Linked DNA regions of Caenorhabditis elegans. The protein of the gene in region 1 interacts with the protein of each later gene in a pairwise test. Each region holds a gene or a part of one and is shown on either strand. Other genes may lie near its edges.

The links.
Region 2: the proteins of B0507.1 (region 1) and T21H3.1 interact in a two-hybrid assay, tested with the Caenorhabditis elegans proteins (one large-scale study listed by BioGRID).

Annotation. Positions count from the first base shown.
Region 1 is NC_003283.11:8,774,844-8,785,500, reverse strand, and holds B0507.1 (EB domain-containing protein), read right to left. Parts: upstream 8,932-10,657; 5' UTR 8,917-8,931; exon of another isoform or gene 8,871-8,916; intron 8,857-8,870; 5' UTR 8,842-8,856; coding exon 8,665-8,841; intron 8,602-8,664; coding exon 8,382-8,601; intron 8,228-8,381; coding exon 7,742-8,227; intron 7,658-7,741; coding exon 7,233-7,657; intron 7,182-7,232; coding exon 6,818-7,181; intron 6,519-6,817; coding exon 6,343-6,518; 3' UTR 6,183-6,342; downstream 1-6,182. Other genes in the region: B0507.2 (BRO1 domain-containing protein BROX homolog), read right to left, coding at 9,140-9,229, 9,694-10,642.
Region 2 is NC_003283.11:1,171,217-1,181,449, reverse strand, and holds T21H3.1 (Fungal lipase-type domain-containing protein), read right to left. Parts: upstream 4,727-10,233; 5' UTR 4,726-4,726; coding exon 4,354-4,725; intron 4,306-4,353; coding exon 4,180-4,305; intron 3,095-4,179; coding exon 2,747-3,094; intron 2,697-2,746; coding exon 2,625-2,696; 3' UTR 2,586-2,624; downstream 1-2,585. Other genes in the region: F25A2.1 (Fungal lipase-type domain-containing protein), read right to left, coding at 457-798, 1,331-1,456, 1,501-1,821; ptr-16 (SSD domain-containing protein), read right to left, coding at 6,636-6,685, 6,739-6,862, 7,871-8,368, 9,014-10,233.

The DNA.
Region 1 (10,657 bases):
ATAAAGAGTGTGCAGAGCGGTGAGACGCAGTGAAAGACACTGTCCCGGAATGGAGTTGAGTACGTTTACGGTCAATGAGAATAGAGCTAGGCAAATGAACGTTTATAGTTAGAAGAAGTAGAAGAGGAGGGAGGATGATGATAAATAATTAGAACACTACATTTCTACAGTAATCCTTCAAAAGTTTCTTGCTTTTAAACTGCTTCGCTTGAGCAGTGTTTTCAGATCCAATTTTTGGGGCATTTTTCCTGTTATTACTAGTGTCAAATCGAAAATCACAAAGAGTATCAGCAGGTAATGTCAAAACAATTGTGTTGTTTCGTAGTTAAATGTACATCGGTTATGTGCCTTTTTCATCTAACTTATAGTTAGGATATAGTTGAATACATGTACAGATGAATGACGTGGTGCAAAGGTGAATATATTCAAATGTGCGGCGTCGCGTCGGAGACCCCACGCGCCTCTGCCCTCCATGGTGGGGCTGTGGGATGCCTGATGCAGATGCACATAGGAAACTGCCTGCTGCACACTATTTCGTTTTGGTATCGATTCATTGATACATACTTCTGATGCAGCCGCCAGCCATCGTGGAGGACGAGAGACGAGTCGTGCAACATGCCCTCAACACTGATATGATAACAGACACTCTTTCGTTATGTCGACGAATCGTTCTTCTCGTCGTTGATGATGACAACTTCGAGAAGAACACACATAGACTAACATCCATTGAGAGGGGGGTTCAGAGCTATTCGGAGATGGAGTAGGATTTTCTCGAAGCGGAGTTGGTGCGCTCCATTTGTCAAGTGTCTTTGTAGAGAATACACAGAAAAAGCACAGTGAGGAGGAAAGTGCCTCTCTCGCACGCGGGCGGAAGAGCAAGAGAGCCGGTGTATGTGCTCCATCTCTTCATTCCCGCGCGAGAAGCAAAGAGTCAACTTCTTCTCTCTTCTTCTCCCACCCCGCTTCTTCTCCTTCTTCTTATTCTTCTTGCAGCTAGTCAGTCAGTATCGAGGAGAGCAAAATAAACATTCCAACGTCTGTCCTCTTTTCATCGTCTTCGTCTTCTTCTTCAAAGATTCTCGGCCGATTGGGATTGACTGACTTGACGGGAAAGACGGGAACGTTGAGTGTACAGAAGGATAGCGGGAGGTCGCGCAACATACAGACACATACTGTTGGAGAAGTCAGTGAAGAAGAAGAAGACGAATGGAGAAGAAGGCGAGGACGATGGTGACGAGGAAGGGGAAGAGTAAAGGGAACAGAAAAAGAAAAAAGAGCGTCGATGGTAAGGACAGAAAAACCAGCAGAATATACGGAAAAGTGATACATATTGAGATGTGGATGAATGATGTGGTGAAGGTTGTCACCAAAATTTTTAGAAAAAAACAGGAGATAGATGAGTGGGTGGAAGTTATCGTGTATCTAAAATGGTGTCTTCTTTTGTTGACCGAAATTATTATTCAGACTACAAGAAATAAAAGTTGCATAACCACAATCCAACATTTTAATTTTGTGTCGAATTGGGGTATGTTGGAATGTTTATTATTATACCTTTCATTTCCAATTCTTCTTCTAGAAAAAATTTAGAAGTCATATCACCTTCTAGTTTTGCAATTGTTTGGTCTGATAAGTGATTTCTCATTTTGAGATGGGAATTACCTAGATAACTAGAGAGAACTATAACTGTATTTTGTACTTTTCGAATCATAACATACTTGAGAGCAAATAGCTACAAAAATAACATCTACAGTAGTAACATAATTGGATGGCGTATTTCTTTTAAAAAATCAGAATAGAAAGAAGACGTCAAAGTGGTGCGACGGCTCCCTGGTTTCCATGCCTCATTCTCACTAATCGCCTTCTATTCAAGGGATTCTCCTCGCCGCGAGAATTCATAGAATCATCCAAAGAGCTCACTTCTCACACGGCACCAAAACATGTTGTGATAAAGCTGATAAGATAGCGATTCAGATGACTATGAAAAGTGAGAAAGGAGGAGCTCTTCTTCTCTTCAAAATGGGGATTAGATGGGAGACCGGAGGAAACAGAAACGAAAAAGAAGACTCTGGACGACGATGACGAAGGAGAAGAAGAAGGAGACGCATCCCCCCGGAGACACTCACCCACACATGTCTTCTCTTTTCTTCCTCAAGATGCTCAACGCAGATTCTGGAGCGCCCTGGAGCACAAGAGAGGGCTCCAAAACGACCCGCTCTTCGTTTTTCCTCCACTCTTCCTCTTTGTTGACAACATTCTGGTGGTGTCTCCGGGCCAGCAGACAAAGAGACATTAAACTTGACGGAAAAGAGAGTCGGGTCTCTGAAGGATTCAAGGAGACTGACTAACAGAATGAAGAAGGAGACGACCACGATGTCAAATGATTCGGAAGATGTTGACAGACGACACGTGGCAAACAAGTGAACACTCGCACAAAAGTGTTAAAGGTAAACGGGGGAGGGAATATTGGAGCACAACCACCACTCGGCTGCTTTTGAGGCAGTTGAGGTAGTGGTTGCTCCTGCTGACAGTGACACATAAAGGTGAATAAACAGATGAAAGAGGCGAAGAGAAGAACGACGGCGGTGAGGTTTTTGGTAAAGTGAGGCGGTGATGATGGCGGAGTTGTGTGATTCCGACCGCAGCTCCGTCAAGCTCCCGAGTCCACTGGAAGCAAACAACGGCGGAGGTGCACGAGCTCACGGAGCTGTTCTCGCTTTACTCATTGGGATTGAGATAATAGAGACGATGGGCTATAGTGTTCTGTATATACTAAGACTCCTATGATATTTGTTAAGGGGTTAGAGTTGTGGAAAACTAGGTTTACAAACTTTATATCCAATTAAAGTACCTAAAATTATCAATAGACACAATTCTCTAAAACTGTGCCGTATGAACATTTTTGGAAAAATACAGTACCACTGAGAGTACTGTATGTTTCATTATGGAACTCGTTTAGAATCACTACAGAAAGAAAAACTGTGAAAGAGGTCACCACCATTTCCACAAGTCTTCATCTCCTTTTTCTTCATCTTTTTCCCTGTTAGAGGCCCGGTCTCCATCTTGACACAGACGTACATGTCTTCTCAATCTCAAGTCAAGATGGACGACGTCGCCGTCTTTGAAGACGACGAATGAAATGAATATGGAGAAGAAGAAGACCAGCACAAACACAGTGTGGTGCGGTGTACAGACACTCAGAACAAGAGACAGAGAGGTTATATGGAGAGTGAGGGTTGGGGCAGATAGTGCGTCTAACGGAGAGATGACGTACATTTAACTGGGTGCCTAAAGACAATACATATGTGTTTCTGGTGACCCGACCTAACATTGAAGCACACTTTTCAAAAAGGGCTTCTAAAAGGTCTGCTCTCCAGGAGACGTGACACGGATAAAGATGGAGTGTGGATCTCAGAGAATAGACGGAATAGAAGAAATGGGAGGAGAAGCTCAAAGTATTATGAGAAGATTATAGCTTCACTCCCTCAGCATTTGTGCCCCTTTTCTTGTGCTTCCTAGTTTTCAGAAGATACAAATAAACAAAAATTCAGAAGTGAAGCAGATTCGAGGAATGTTCTAATAAATTCTCTCTAGACTCAAAACGGAAAGAAGCCATCTGTCGATGTGGATTGAAATGGACGTCCTTGGACATTGACATCAAAAAATCAAAATGATGCGTGGCACACCGGTTTCGGCTCCGTGATGGTCATTGGTAGAAGAGGAGAGTATTTGATAAGCACGTCACTGCAAAGTATTTTCCCACTTCCGTCATTGGACGGCTTTCTCTTGGAAATTTCTGCAGAGCTTCCAGCTAGCTTCTGACCAAAATGGCAAATTGTAGTGGAAAAAATTTTTAGTTCATTTTATATAGTGGAAAACTATTTCCAGATATAAAATAATGCATGGTGGTACAACTTAACATGTACTAATTCAGGTTATAAAAGTTTAGATATTTTTGAAGTCAGTTTTTTATTTATTGTTTGAAATCTAGAAAGAGAAATCTACACTAAAACCCAAATTAACGCAATTACCAAACAATTACCAATTTATAGTGATAGGAACACAAAACGTATGAGGTCACCTGTAGTGTTTGCTCAAAACGAGAAAAATAAGTAGGAGAATTTATGTTGTCTCTGTTATCACAGCCACTCTCCAGGTTATTCAGGATGATATGGGAGGTAGATAAGAGAAAAAGAGAATGAAGAGAAGAACAGATAGAAGCACAATTCTAGTGACGTGGAATTCTTTATTCCTCCCTCTATTGGATCAAGCTCAATTCAATATTTCATCTGTCGTTCTCCAGTAGCGTTTTGCCCACCAGAAAAATAATTCTACAAGAGAAAAAAAAAGATGAAACACCGCTTTATCAGAAGTGTTGTCGAGAAAAAACGAAGCATGAACGATGAAGATTGGGAGAAAGAAGAAAATAAGTGGTGAGAAGCCTGACGTGGAGGCAATACCGGCGCGGAAAAAGAGAAGAATTTCATGGACTGATTGATTGGAGTTTGGGAATATGGTAGTGTCATCGATAGAAATAGGTTGGTCTAATGAAATATTGAAGAGGAGAAAAACGTTTCGAACTTTTTGGTAAATTTGAGCTACTACATACGAAAGCTATTGAAATCTCAAAAAATAATTGTAAAGTTTAGTCCTTGGCTGGAATTGGAGGGTTATAAAATTGCTCGTTTAAAACTTCAATTCAATCGTATTGGTCAGATTTCTCGAAGTTATTCGTATAATATTTAACATGCCAAAATTCGTACCATTGTTTTCGGAAATTGAGAATTTCTAATTCAAACTAGAAATTTTCAAAGCAGAAACTGAGTTTCTGTGTGATCTCAACATACAAATGTTCTTAGAAGCTCACACGACAAAGTCTAAAAAGTGTAGGATTCTTTGAAAAGAGGACATGCTCCTTTACATGCTCAAACGGCTCTCAGGAGCTCAGGTGACTGAGAAGAAGATTTTGTGAAAGGCGGAGCACTTCTTCTCTTCATCTTCTACTGAGATGATGAAGATGAAGAAGAAGAAGCTTTCTGGTTGCTATGCGGAATAAAGAAACACAGAGAGAAGCGCTCTTCTCATACACACATCTCCTCCAGAAAGCGTCCGTTCTTGACTTGACCGACATGAAGATGAAGAAGGAGAGTCAGTCGGTTTACAACACAAAACTTGAGAAGAAGATGAAGATGAGTGGAGACGCAGGACCACGGGCTCCTGAGCCGGGAGGAGTTGGGCTCTCAGGTTGAAGATGAAGCGGATGCGGAAGTTGAGATGACACTCTTGTATAAATTCTTGTCAGCAGAGTTTAGACTACTATAGTTTGTAGTGTTAGGCACAAAAGGGAACGATGATATCAGAAGGAAAATTTACTCTTATAACACGGTTATAACTTATATTTGGGAATCAAAAATTCCTTGGACGTCCAAATTGTTTATAAGATAACTATCATTAGCGACTCTAAGATTGAAGTTTTGTTTGAACTGTTTGAAGATTGAAATATTCAAAATGTAAGCGTTCATGTAAACTTTAAAAATGGCAGAAGGTATTTCTCACAGAATGGCTTCACCATCGTTCAACAAAAAAACTGAAAGCCGAGCTCTTTCACTTTAGCTCACTTTCGTCCATTCCAGGAAAGATGGCCTTCTTCTTCCATCTCGACGACCACCAAAACGATGACTTCATTCCCCCTATTTCCATCTCCTCACCACTAAATGACGAGTGTGTAGTTGAGAAGGCGAAAAAGAGCTCCAGAATTCGAAAAGCCCTCCTCTCCTCCGCTTCTTTTTTTTTCGTTTTCGTCCCGTCTTCCAACAAGCCATCTTCGTCTTCTTCTTCTCTAATTTATTCACTCTCGGCCACAGGGGGTTCCGAGAAGATGTCACCACCGACAACATCAGAAAAATATTTTTAAGGGTCATGTCACGAATTGGTCCGTTTATTAGAAGCACTGCTTTTCAGGTTTCTTCAGAAGAATTCATGATAAAGACAGAGGACATTTTGGCCTTCCCCTTGGCCATTCATCCACTATTCATCCCTGATTACTCATTCATCCGTATTTTCCAAGTGTGTCCGCTCTCCTTTTCAGCTTCCTCTCTCCAGAATCCTCTCCAGTCGCTATGACGACGATGAGGAAGAGCAACAGGATACAAGAAGCAAATGTGGAGGATGGCACACGACGAGAAGAGAGTCATGTAAGGATTTATTAAAGAGGTGGTGGTGTTGGTGGCTACTGGTGAAAAGAGGAAAAAGAAAAGGGAAGCACGTCCAAAATGTACAAACAAGAAGAGTTGGAAAACGAGGGGTGAACAATATAGAGAAGGGATTTTACAAAGCGAATGTAGTTTACAGATTCATTGTTGTTGAATTCAGGGCATCCCGCATGGCAGACATTGTCACATCATCATAAGTGCAACAGATTTTGGCTTTGCCATTTTTGGTTCGGTGACAGATTTGGTTTATTCCACGACAATTGTCATCTGTGCATTGCTCTCCGGTCTCAACATAATCCTTTGGACATCCTGAAGTAATAATTCAATAAAAATGAAGATCTCTAAAAATTTAGACATTGGTAGAACAATTTATGGATTTACAGAAAAATCCCAAAAATATGTCATTAGTTTTCTGCTTTCTATGATTATAGTTTGTAATTTGATAAGGGTGTTGTGGCAGCAGAATTATAAAATAACTCTAATTATTGTTTGCACTTTTGCAAAGCTAGTTAATCTTGTGATAACTGAAACAGATATTCATATACTGATTTCAAGAAGGAATGCATTGAACAATTTTTCAAAATAAAATTTCCTTGGAAGTCACTTACTGTTAGTTCCCTTGCAGCAAACATGGGTATTTGGATCACACATATGACCCATACTACAATCACTGGATCTCTCACAACGAATTAATTGCCCTGACTTGTCTACTGATGGTTCTCCTCTTAGGCCAATTGAGCACATAATTCTTTTGCACTGTCCGTCAGCATAACTGAAACCTGCTGGACACGAACAAATACTTCTGGCACATTCCATTTTTGCAACTTCAGCGTACTCTTCGGCGGCGTCGGGACTCTTTGAGTAGACGCATTGCGACGAAATGTGACAGCTGTCTCCATAGTACGCCATTGAAAAGCACTGGCCTTCGTGGTAGATGTCTTCGAGTGAAACACAAGGCTTTGGACAGCAAATCTGAAATTTTAGATATTCTTTCAAAGGGGTTTGAGATTTTGAAAACCATACAGATTTCTCGGTGGCTACAGAATCCCTATGACAGTAATAATCTACGGGACATTTGTTACATCCATAGTCTGGAGGATATGACGATTCATGTGGTTCTCCCACAGGGCATGTTGGGCGAATTTCGGATGGAGACGGACAACAAAATCCCTTATAATAACCGGGTTTACTTGCATCATCGAACACAGGAACACAATAATGCTCATCTGGACAATCATCTCTTTCATTTCCAAAATCCAAAAGAGTTCCATTTTGAATTCCTTTCATTAGACGTTCAAATTCGGCATCGTTAATATCACTTCCATTTTCTGACTTTTTCAGGCTTCTGAAACTGGTGGAGACACTCGAAAGAAGAGAGTTTTTGAGAGAGCATGTGATAAGCTTTTCATCTCGTTTTAGGGGAGCTGCTTTGTTGACACATCGGTACTCTGCAATTTTCTGAGATGAACTAGTTTCAATGAAGTTTGATTGATATCTAATTGATAAAAACATTTGTGCTGAAAAAAACTCACCAAGGGGTTCACAACCTCCATCACCATTTCTCTTGAAACCTCTCTTACATCTACATCCTCCTGAAGAGCATTCTGAAAATGCAGCAGAGCATTCCATATCAGTCTTACACTTTTCTTTCAGACGTCTTCTAACTCTTTGACAAGTTTTTCCATCGGAAGCAAGTGTGTATCCAAAGTCTGTGGCACACTCACACATACAATTTCCACGGGCTCCACAGATACAAGCTGCTCCACCAGAACATCCAGATTGTGGAGAGCACACTTGTCCTCGCCACGGACGTTCATTTTCAATGATTGCTGGTGCACGGGTAACGACGACTGGGGGCTCAACATCTACACCTGGGACGCAGCAGAATCCAGTTGTAGTCTCACAGAAACCATTCTCAGGGCATGGCATTACTCTTCCTTGTTTGAATTGGCACATAATAGGTTTGCCAGTTATGAAGTTAACCATGGTTTTCTTAGTTTTTGGACAGGTTGGTAGTTCTGAAGAATGTAAATTTTACCGGTTAATTTGATAATGAGGATCCTCATTTAATTTTTCAAAATGAATAACCATGTCCTGAAATATTTACGTTTTATTGAAAACGTGGTCCCTTTTTTTTCCAACGAGAATTTTATAATCAATACGATTTCTTACTTGTACAACAAACTCCATGCACTGGATTACAGATGTGAGTTGATGGGCAGTCTTCAGTCAAATCGCAGATTGTCAGAGTTCCAGTAGGAGAGAGGACAAGTGCACCTCCTCCTGGACAAAAATCTTCCGATGTTCCTCCCAATGCCGATTTCGGGACAAGTGACTTGAAGCATCCGGATTTCTGTCGTCCGTTAACATTGCCAGGGCGACACTCTTCACCCTAGAATACGTTTAAATGAATCTCCGCGCATTTTAATACTTAGAAGTTAAAAAAAAACGATACCTCGTCACATTGTAAATCATTGGAACACGAATCTTTCCTACAAGCGCCTTCTTGACAGAAGAATCCTCTACCACATTGCATTGAATGAGTACATCCTCTTCCAGACGCTGTTCTAGCGCTGACAACTCCAATGAGAAATAACAAAATTGACAGGATGACTAGCCGACGGGATCGCATTGCTACTGACTGAAACTAAAATCTCCAGCTATATCCGATCTGCCCCAAAGGACCGCCCTTTGAATGTTGGCACACCTGTTGGTTGATTCAGCCGCATGCTCAACTGACCGTTATATTTGGTCACTGTCTTCAATCGTGTCAACAACATGTACATTTTTATGTATATCATCCAGCATCAATGAGAACGCGTGCAGCTAAAATTGGAAACATTGCATACAAATGGGCATGGTTGTAAGGGGAAATGGAAATGTTTAAAAATAAAATAGTGAAGAACAGTAATGTACAAAGACTCGAATTATTAGGCAATCACACATCCACTGGAATTGCTGGGATCCTTTTCTGTTTGGTAGATTTTCTCCTCGTGAACTGGATCAAGCTTTGACTTGCTCTGAAATTAGTGATTACAACAGTTTAAATGCTTTATTCTTTTTAATAAATGCATTTTTTAAGTCGAATGTTTTAAGGAAGAAATTTAAAGGAGTTTTAGTATGACAAATTCGAATGTTTCCTAGATTTTTTGGAAATGAAAAATGAAAAAAAATTTCCTTGTAAATGTGTTAACATTTGATAAATCCGTATACTGTTCAAATTATCTGTTGTTTTTTTTAGATCAAACTAACGGAAATTGCATGTTTTCGCTTTTTTTGAACGGATTTTATTGTCAAAATTGTATTTTTGGTAAACGCTCAATTTTTGAATTTGCTGTTTTTGAATTTATATCCAATTTTTACTTTAGAAGGCAAGAACGGAAATAAAAATTGAGCGTTTCAAATTGAAACACGTTTTTCCAGAACTCAAAATATTTGTTATGTAATTAGTTTAATTTAGTTTTTAAAAAATCGACGCGCCTACCTTTTTAATTTTTGAAAAATCTGGCATATTTGCTTTGGACAAATCAAAAGCGGAATAAACTGCCGTATTCCATGATTCCGCTGGTGGAGGATAGGTAAACGAATCAAGTTTAGCCAATCCATATGTTGCTTCTACATCCAATTGAGGAATCTCATCTGGAACTTTTTGATGATAGATGAATCCATTTTCTCGCTCCGCTTTTTCCAAATGTCGATTGAGCAATGGCTCGATTCTTCTGAAGAACAAGTGTTGCTCAGGCTTGATACGAGTTCCAGGACCAGTTGCAGTTGCATACATTGCTGCCATTTCTTTAGCAACTCCATACTCAGCAATTCCTTGCTTACAAGCTCTCACAGCTTCTCCACATTTATCCTCTGATAGTTGTTTCTGTCCGAGGAAGGCAAAAGCATACGCCAAATAGAAATGATGCTTCAATTGCAGATATCTTCTCCATCTCGCAAAACTCTCATCAGGCAAATTATTCAGGCATTGATCAGCTTTTGAGAATATCGATGCAGTTACAGCAGCAAGCGATGAGATTAATCCATCATCATGTTTCATTTCAATAGCTCTAGCTACAATGACCTCTTGTGCTTCTGCTGTGGCAGTCAAAATATACGTTTCCATAACTTTCGGATCAAAATCTGAGCCTTCAACTTCATTGGCACCGGAAAGTCGTGATGATTCATCTTTCACATATTGGAACATTCCACCTGCTTGTCTCAAACACTGAAGACATTCCTTTGCATCAGATTCTCGTACCTCATCCTTTCCAGCCATCGACGCAGCATGCTTTGTGAGCCACATTGCCATACATTGAATCATACTGAGAGCTTCAAACCAAGTATCCGAAACTTCTGTGGCGGCTTGTGGAAGCATTGAGTTACCCCATTTGAAGCGGATCAGTGGAATTAGTTTGCTGTTTTTGTTGCCTGCGTCCTTGTTTTCCCTGATAAAGAGCGTA
Region 2 (10,233 bases), 7.6 Mb from region 1:
CTGAAAATAGCGGTTAAAAATTACGAAAACGGGATCCTATTTGTATGGGTCTCGCCGCGAGAAAAAAAATTCGGCAAATTCGGGCAATTTGGCAATTTGCCGGAAATTTTCATTTTCGGCAAATTGCTGATTTGCCGGAAATTTACGATTCCGGCAATTTGCCGGTTTGCCGGAAATTTCCAATTCCTGCAAATCGCCGGTTTGCCAATTTGTCGATTTGCCGGATGTTTTGAATTCCGGCAAATTTGGTGGTTTGCCGATTTGTCGGAAATATTCAATTCCGGAAAATTGCTGATTTGCCGGAAATTTTCAATTCCTGCAAAGAGCCGGTTTGCCCATTTTGCCGAAAATTTTCAATTCCGGCAACTTGCCGATTTGCCGGAAAAGATTGTTTGCCGTTTAAGAAAAAAATCACGAAATCAATATATATGATCAAACGAAAAAAAAAAGACACACCTCAAAATCCAAGTCAACAAGATTTCCATTCGAACATTTCTCCGATTCGTCCTTTTCACAAATCTCCCAACCACCCATGTTCTTGTTATAATAAACTTCCGACTTATGGTGAAAGTAGCCGTGATGGCCTTGTCCAGGCAAGTGTGGTACGGGATCATGAGAATGTGTGACACGATACGCATTTGGGACCAGGTTGTCAACGCTGGTCGCGAAGTCCATGTTCCCGGTACGTGGTTGGCCGAATGTGACGAGGAGAAGCTGATCAGCCGATACGAGACTGGTATATCGGAGATATGTGGCAGCAAGGGAGGCTAGAGCTCCACCAAGAGAGTGGCCGGTGACCTGAAAATTGTCAGCGTCAGGCTGTCCCATCTCGGTTTGATCTACGTTGATCTACAAAAAGTGCGGGAGAAGAGACGCACAGTTCTCAACTGATTTCGCATGGTTAAGAACGTAGTGACGTCACATTTTCTGTGGAAGAAATTCCCGCATTTTTAGTAGATCAAATTGTAATGGGCCTGTGTACTCATGAGATGTCAGGCTGTCCCATTTCGGCTTGATCTACGCTGATCTACAAAAATTGCGGGAATTCAGACGCAGATTTCTCAACTGAATCACATGGTTAAGAACGTGCTGACGTCACATATTTTTGGGCAAAAAATTCCCGCATTTTTGGCAGATCAAACTGTAATGGGACAGCATGTTTATTGATCTCCAAGAAATGCGGAAGTCGGAATACGAAATTCGCTTTGAGACGCTAGTAGAACTCTTGCGTGTTTATCAGGAGTGTCCGGCAAATTTGGAAAATTTGCCGCACTCCCCAGGTGTAAATTTCCCGTTATTCTCGGAAATCGAACGTGCGAGGCTAACGAACCCAAACTTGATAACTTGGGTATCTAGACATCAGACTGATGACGTCATCTTTCATTCCAGAAGTCCATATTTTGAAAAACGCATCGCTGAAGTATTCGGAGACGTGCCCACCGGAAACCCAGGATTTCTGAAAATTTGACCTAGACAGAGCTTTTGCATAAACTAACTTACATTGTTTGCAAACACAGTTTCTACGGCTTCAACGAGCAGCTGTGCGTTACGATTAGTTCCACGAAAAGCTACCAAAATCGCCTGACTTTCGTGATCGACTCCAGTAAATCCAGAACATGTATCATCAAGTGTGTCGCAAGCTACAGTAATCTGAGGTTTGACTTGAAAATTTTGAAACGCCAAGCTCATGCAACTTTGTGGAGGAGAAGCGTACGCGGAGATGGCTGCATAGATCAGTTTATTCCGAGAGAGCTGATCGGAATATGGTATTGAACTGTGGGAGAATGATTTGCAAATTAAAACGGAGAAAATAAAAAGCATTTTGAATGTCAAATACATTAAATACAATTGTAATTGAAAATTTGCAAACTTAAATAGCTCTGTGAAAAGTGAAAAAAGTTCTGGTTGCAAGTGTGACTTTGTTGTTTGATTTTGGGATTACTGTTGCTCCGAGGCAATTTGTCATTTAACTTTGCTTGGAAATATGACGAACATCACGTCATCTTCAGATTGCTGTCACATTTGTTATCAAGGGAATTACTAGCTATTTATGCTCCGACGCCTGCCTCAAACCTGTACGGAAAAGGGGTGTGCGGCAAATCTCAAAACTTGCCGTGCTCGCCAAATTTTGCAAATCTCTTCTTCCAATATTTGCCGAGCACGGCAAATTCGGCAAATTTGCCGTGCTTAATTAACTCCGAAAATTTGATATTTTTTGATGTTTTTTGGAGCACCGAAACTACTGAATTCTGAATAAAAATCTGGTGTCTGAATAACTTCCGTGTAGTGTGTCTGCTTAAGCATCAAAATAACAACTCAATTTTATGCCATTTTACTAAATTTTTGGGGACAAAATCAATAGTTTTGGCCAAAATTGTATTGTTAAAAAATTTTTGATGTGTGCGGAAAATTTCGAAATTTATCGTGCTCGGCAAATTCGGCAAATCTACTGTTTTGAAATTTGCCGAGCTCGGCGAATTCGGTAAATTCGGCAAATTTGCCGCACATTCCTGGTGCGGACCTCTGCGAACATATGGGAGGCAGGCGCGTAGGCAGGCCCACCACTTCAACTCTGAACCACTGAATCAGTTGTGAACTATTTTATTGTTTAAAACATTGAAAAGTTAGTTCTTGACATTAGCACAATTTGAGTAGCCCAAGTCGCTGACATCAACGTCGAAGTAGTGAAGATGATCCTAAAAAAATAAAAGTATTGGTGAAGTAAAGAACTTTGGACGATTTATACCTTGATAGAAGTGTCTGGAAGAACTTGTCCGTTGGAGCAGAATTCGCTCTCATCGATATCATCGCAAATGTTGTACTTCGTCATTTTCTCCTTGTAGAACACCTCGGCCTTGTGGTGGGTGAATCCTTGCATGTTCTCCTTTGGAAGATGTGGCACCGGGTCGTGGGCGTGGGTGACGCGGAACTTGTTCGTGACGTCACGATCGACGGCGGCCGCGTAGGCCTTGTCTCCGACACGTGGCTGTCCGTAGGTGACGAGTTGAAGCTTCGAGGCGTCGAAGAGCTTGTTGTAGGTGATGTAGGAGGCGGCAAGGGAGGCCATCGCTCCTCCGAGGGAGTGTCCGGTGACCTGAAGTTTTGTAAGTACACGACTTTCCCACGCGTTGTCCGGCGGGCGGTTGTCAATGGAGCGCGAAAAATTCAATGAGGAAGGCCAGAATCCCATGATTTTGAGCCTTGGGAGACGAAAATAAATTTGCAACGGACAATGTTCGAGACCGCGTTTTCTTATGTGGACCACCTTGGGTGCTACACTAAACAGTATTCCGGGAAATGATAGGACTACTTTCAAGAAACCATTGTCACCACGGGATCATCACATGGATCCACAAGGATCTTTTATCCACTGGTTGGGTCCTGCTCATGCGCCAACAAGAATGACACGTGGAGTCAGAAAGTCCCATTTTGCTTTGATCTTCAAAAAATGCGGGAGAGGAGACGCAAACATCTCATCGGATTCCGCATGTTCAAGAGCGTGCTGATGTCACAATTTTTCTGGGAAAAATTCCCGCATTTTTTGTAGATCAAAGCGCAATGAGACAGCCTGACACCACGTGGAATGGGTTTTAAGTTTCTATAACATTTTTGTGGTTCGAGGTTGACCACTGACATTCCCGCGTTTCTGATCTGGACTTCTTATTTTATTTTAAAAAAAAATTTAACGAAGCATTATTGTTACACCTATCAGGCATCAAGGCTTGCGCGACGTACTGTGTAGCTGCACTGCAGCCCACGTGGTGTCAGAGTGTCTCATATCGGCTTGTTCTACGTAGATCTACAGAAAATGCGGGAGAAGAGACGCAGAGTTCTCAACTGATTTCGAATGGTTAAGAACGTGTCGATGTCACATTTTTCTGGGCGAAAATTTCCCGCATTTTTTGTAGATCAAACCCTAATGAGACAGCCTGGGACCACGTGCAGCCGACTTCGATCGAGATCTCAACCAACCCAGCTCATGTCGTCTGCGTCTTCCTGGGGGGTATACTCACTTATATCACAAGTGTAGGAATACACTGTAGAAATGCAACAACCACTTGCTTCATGAACTCGCAAAGTATATTTTGCTAGACTACGATAGCTGTCAACAACACGGGAGCACAGTCTACTTTAACCCCATCAATAATCATTTTCTTATCAGTTTTTACGAATTCTTACCCAAACTTGGAATCCTGGGTTTTGGGCGGCAAGAGTGTTAAAATCGTCCTTGAGTCCGGCGTTCCAGATGTTCAAAAATCCGTCGTTGAAGTACTGGGAGACGACACCTCCAGCAGCCCATGGAGTCTGAAACATGCTTCATTTATTCCGGAGTACTCGAAATTTTAATCTTACGTGATACTCGAAGACAGTCTCCAATCCTTCCAAAATAAGCTGCACATTGTTGTTAGTTCCACGGAACACCACAATAATCGCCTTGTCCTGTGGACTGACGGCGGTGTATCCGACGCATTTGTCGGCTGGGTTGACGTCACAGCGAGCCGTAATGATTCTCCTGATTGAGGCACCGGTGAACGCTTTGTCGAGGCACTGTTGTGGATTCGATCCGTAGGCGGCGCCGGCTGCGAAGAGAATCTTCTTGCGAGCAGTGGCGTCGTTGTATGGGATGGTATAGACGTCGAGGTTCTCTGGATTTTTTGGGGCTTCTGGTAGCACAAAGGCCGAAGCCAGTGGCAGAAGGACTGCAGCAAGCAGTAAGGCTTGCATACTGAAAGAATAATTTAAAGTTAACAAATGAGATGGAAGTTGGAAAATCGTTTTAAAACGTGACACATCTTATTCAGAAACACGTGACGTCACCGAAGTGAAGCCTGTGTGACGTCACTTCGAAACTTAATTTGCCGCAAATTTCGAATTAACATTTAAAACATGATTACTGGGAGAAAAGGTGGGAAAATGACGATACTCTGCTATTCGATTTCTCTTTATTAACTTTCCGTTTTCTTATCACCAATTCCGTTTCAAATATCACACAACCTATAAAAAAGTCGTTGATATGAATGATACCGCTTAACTTGTGCTCTTTTATCAAATTTTCAATCGAACCGGATTACGCAAGTAGTTTAAATGGTCGTTTGATTCCTCGAACCACAAACTAACACTGTAGGAGATGAACAAAGTTCTTGATACTTGAATGTTCAGTGGTGTTAAAAAAAATTCTACACGGGGTTCTGGCCTTCCTCGTTGAATTTTTTGCGCTCCATTGACAATCGCCAACGCGTGGGAATTCCTGTACTCCACACGGACAAATGCATTTAGTTTCACAACTAAAATCGAGCCGCGACACGCAACGCGCCGTAAATCTACCCAAGATATGGCCGAGCCAAAATGGCCTAGTTCGGCAATTTCTTCCATTTCAATTTATGAGGGAAGCCGAAAATCCGTGAATTCTACCTGAAAAATCAAATAATCAAATTTCCGAATGAAATGTTTTTGAAAGGCTGATATTTGATTTGATCAGCAAACTTTAAGAAAATTAAATTTCCAAAAAATGTTGTCAAGCCAACTTTATCCCCGCTTACCTTAAAATTGGAGTTGCACAGGTGGGTTTTTTTTAAATTCTAAATGATAGAATACAGTCTCAATATAACAAATATAACTGTCAAAAAATGTATAAAAATTTTTTAAATTTTTAATGATTTTTTTAAAATTCGAACAGGAAATATAATTTTTTTTTTGAATTCCCGCGCAAGTGAATGACGTCATTTTTTGACACTTTTTGGGAATATTGACTGCTTTTTCTTTACTTTTTCTTTGTTTCATAATTTGACGCATAATTTGTCAAAATTTTCAGACATTTTTCCCAAAAAAACACGTTTTTTTAATGCTAAATTATTGATTTTAGGCCAATTTTGGAGTTTCAGCAAATTTTTTTCATTTGCTGCGCCGAAAAATGTCTGAAAAACATTGTAAAAAATATTGAAAAATTTTTGAAAAATATTGAAAAAATCAAATTTATTGCCCAAAAATGCAAAAATGCCAAAAATGACGTCATTCATTTGTGCGGGAATTCAAAAATAATTCAGCTCTTTTTTTCAAAATTTATAAAATCATGAAAAAATTAGAAATTTTTTGTAAATTTTTTTCATAGTTTTAATTGATATATTAAGACTGTTTTTCGACCATTTAGGGCAAAATTAGCGCAAACGCTACCCATGGCGTCAGGCTGTCCCATCAGGGTTTGATCTACAAAAATGCGGGATTTTTTGCCCAGGAAAATGTGACGTCAGCATACTCTCAACCATGCGAAATCAGTTGAAAAATCTCCGTCTCTTCTCCCGCATTTTTCGTAGATCAAACTAAAATGGGACACTTTGACACCACGTGACGCTAGTCAACCTTTAAAGACAAATCTTCAACAAATTTTATTTTCATCAGTAAGTCACCTGAAGATTGATTTTTTGTGAGTTTTTATTCAGAAAATTTTTAGTTTTTTCTGCAATGACAACTGATTTGCAAATTCTTTTTAACTAATTTATCACAAAAGAAAACTGGGAATGAGACAGACGTCAATGAAGTCGAGCACCCGTAGTTGAGACTTGATAGGAAAACAATGTGGAGAAAAAAAACAACACTAATAAATTACAATTTTGGATCACAATTTTTTTTGGCACATATTAACCGGATCCCCGTTCCTGTGGTAAGGTTCTCAGTTCTGTTGAGTTGCCTGTAAAAATTGTAATTTTTAAATCGAATTCATGTATTACTTTTGACTCTTACTTTTGACTAGAGCTGTCTCACTGTTTCCACTTGAAAAACTGGAAGCCTGTGAAATTTCTCCGAGTTTTTCAGGTTTTTCCGGCTGTATTGAGTCGCCACCAAATAAACGAGATAAGTCGCCAGACTGAAAAAAAAGGTTATAGTCTGACAGTTGATATCTCGATTCAAATCAGTTATTCGAGTAAATTTCAATCGAGAGTTTTTTGATAATTTCTCAAATTTTTCAAAAGATTATAGATAACTCAAAAACCAGAAATGCTATCAAAATATGTTTAACTAATTAAAAAAAATCACGACAAAAATAAAGCGCCAGGAATCTTGTGAGTCCATTCTGGACGATTGGAACTAATGGGCCAGAGGTGAGCAATCGCCTTTTTCCGGCAAGTCGGCAAGTCGGTAAGTTGCCGGAATTGAAACTTCCGGCGATTCGACAAACCGGCAAATAGGCATAGTTTCAGGTGTTGCCGTCTTATATAAATTCTCTCTAAAAACTTCCGGCAAGTTTATGTTCGGCAAACGGCAAATCGGCAAATTGTTGGAAAATTGGCAAATCGGCAATTTGCTGATTTGCCGAATTAGTCGACAAAAAAATTGACGAACGACAATTGTCACCAACCCCTGAATACACTAACTCAATAACCAGATGATTAATCGAAATTTGATAAAAATCCAATATAGTGTTTGGCAAATTTGCCGATTTTGCCGTTTGCCGAATTCGGCAAAAAATGGACAATTCAATTTTTACTAAAACTAATAATTTTGTTCCAAAAAATCTGAACTCACAAGATGTCGGCCGCTTTATTTTTTGCCACATCTTCTGTGAATAATTCAAACACGCAAAACCATAGTGTCAGTTGAACATTCTTTGATAGCAGACGTGTTCGGCAAATTTTTAGATTTGCCGCACACACGTGGTGTCAGAAAGTCTCATCGCGGTTTGATCTACAAAAAATGTGACGTCAGCACACTCTTAACCATGCGAAACCAGATGAGATGTCTGCGTCTCTTCTCCCGCATTTTTCGTAGATCAAAGCGAAATGGGACTTTCTTACTCGACGTGCGCGTAAGTCGACTTGCGACCTACCTCTATAGGTTACAGGACGCCCTAAAATTTTTTCAGGCAATAACTTACGGTAAGCAATAACGCCGGCAAAAATATAATTCCATGAAGCAACCCAAGTACAGTAACCAGAAGAATCGTTTTCACAAACACCCAAACCATATAACTCGTGTTGAACATCAATGGGAAAATGCATAACACTGTCGAGCTTGCGGCCTGAATCATTGGCCATCCGATAGATTTCAGTGCATCGGCAAGGCGCTCATCAGTGGTCCAACTGGTGGGGTTCCGGTAGTAGTGATAGGAGATGTGCGCTGTAAAGTCCACCGAGAATCCGATAGACATTAATGTGGTGCACATCGTGATCGGATCCAAATTCACTCTCCACATTGACAAAAGACCGAAGACTCCAATATTGATGGATATCATTGCAATGGTACTTGTTAGGATTGAGTTGATGCCAGGGATCATGAGAAGGCATGCAAGATCCATTGTAATTGCAGCCCAGATTACTGTAGACATGGTCGTCGCGCCGATTGAGTCAAGTTGGTCAATGTAGAAAGAGTAGCTCTGAACGAAAAAATGCAGCTCTTTTACTGGTATTTCAGGTATTTTTTGTTAGGGATGGGGTTATTCATGCGATTTAGAAAAACTCAAAAATGCATTTATATAAATTTTCCCCCTATTCATAAGTGCCGAAAAAATGTTGTTTTTTTATATAATTTTTTTGCATTTGTGAAGTGGGCTGCCGGCTGATGTCGAAAAATGCAGAAAAATGTTGAGAAATGCACATGGGGTTCTGGCCTCCCTCGTTGCGCTTTTCGCGCTCCATTGACAATCGCCTGCCGGACATGGGAAAGTCGTGTACTCCACACGGACAAATAGATTTAGTTTTCCAATAAAAACCGGGCCGCGACGCAACATGCAACGCGCCGTAAATCTAACCCAGTCGTGGCCGAGAAAAAATGGCCTAATTCGGCAAACTCTTACATTTTTAAATATGAGGGAAACCAGACGCGCGTGGGCGTTTTTGAAAAATGTAAAAAAGGTCGAAAATGAAGAAAAATGTCGAAAAGTGTCTAAAAATGGAATAAATGGATGTGTTTTTTTTTCGACACTCATGAATAGGGAGAAAATGTATCACAATACATTTTGCATTTTTCTAAAAGGCACGAATAAACCCATAACAGCCCTAATTTTTCGTAAATCACTAACCTGGAAAACTGTAACGTTAAAATGCTCATATTCATGTGCTACGCCTCTCCACTGCTTTTGTAATTTCTCACGAGTCGACCAATTTGCATCGTCGCCCATCGCGCAAGCAGTTGCAAACATGAACTTATCAATTCCAAGTATGGTACCATTTTCGTCCTTCTTCAACCTCAACATATCATTCCATCTGGCACCGCCTCCTTCCGAGTCTTCAAGCCATTCTTGCAAAAGCCCATTGAATCCTTTGTTGTTGTGGTATAGAGAGCTTTGATATAAGAATGAGCGTAGCCAAATTGAGGTTGAGTTCTTGCCCATGGAATATGGAAGCGTTTCGAATCGATTTACAAGTTCTAGGACTTCATGTAGATTCTCTGATTTTGTTAAATCAGGAGGATTATTCACAAAAACCATGACCAATTGCCCTTCACTCCACAAGAACCGTTCGTAGATCCATGCGATATGGTTTAACGGGGAATCATTCATGATAAGATTAGTAGTGTCCATTTTGATTTCCATAGTTTTACACCCGTAGTAAGAAGCTGTCCAATAGCCACAGAGCACCAGGAGTAAGCACAAACGGGTCTTCCAGTCCTTCAAAAACCTGCAGTACCTGCTGACTATCCCATTTGGGTTTGCAGGTGGTGGATGGGCGCCGGCAGTTGATCGAATAGAATTCTGTATTGATAACACTTGCTTCGGCCTGCGCTCCATAGCCGCTTCGATTTTCTTCTCCTCTCCGACCTTCTGAAGCTTCATCAGACGTTTCTCCTCATAAACTAGAACTGCCACAAAAAATGTTAGCTGATATACAAAATCCACAGCAACCGCCACACAGGTGTATAGGCAGAAGAGTGAAATTGCAGGAGTCGGGGTTGCGATTCCGATGGCAAAGGACAAGCAGTTCGTAGCCGATGTTACGGTGATTGAGGGTCCTGCTTCTTCCATGGTCTCCGCAATTCGGTCCTCTAGACTTTCAGATTTATCGGTTTTTCTCATAGCATGAATGATAATAAATACATCATCACATCCTACTCCAATTATCAAAAATGGCATTACCAATGTGATAGAGTTGAATGGAAATCCGAAAAGGAAGAGGAATCCAAAAGCGGTTCCAGTTGCCATGAGAGGTCCGGCGATTCCCAAGATAGCCATCACAACGTTGTGAGAGAACACGAAATGCTCCCGACTATTCGTGGCGAATATGAAAATGACTACAGCCGCGA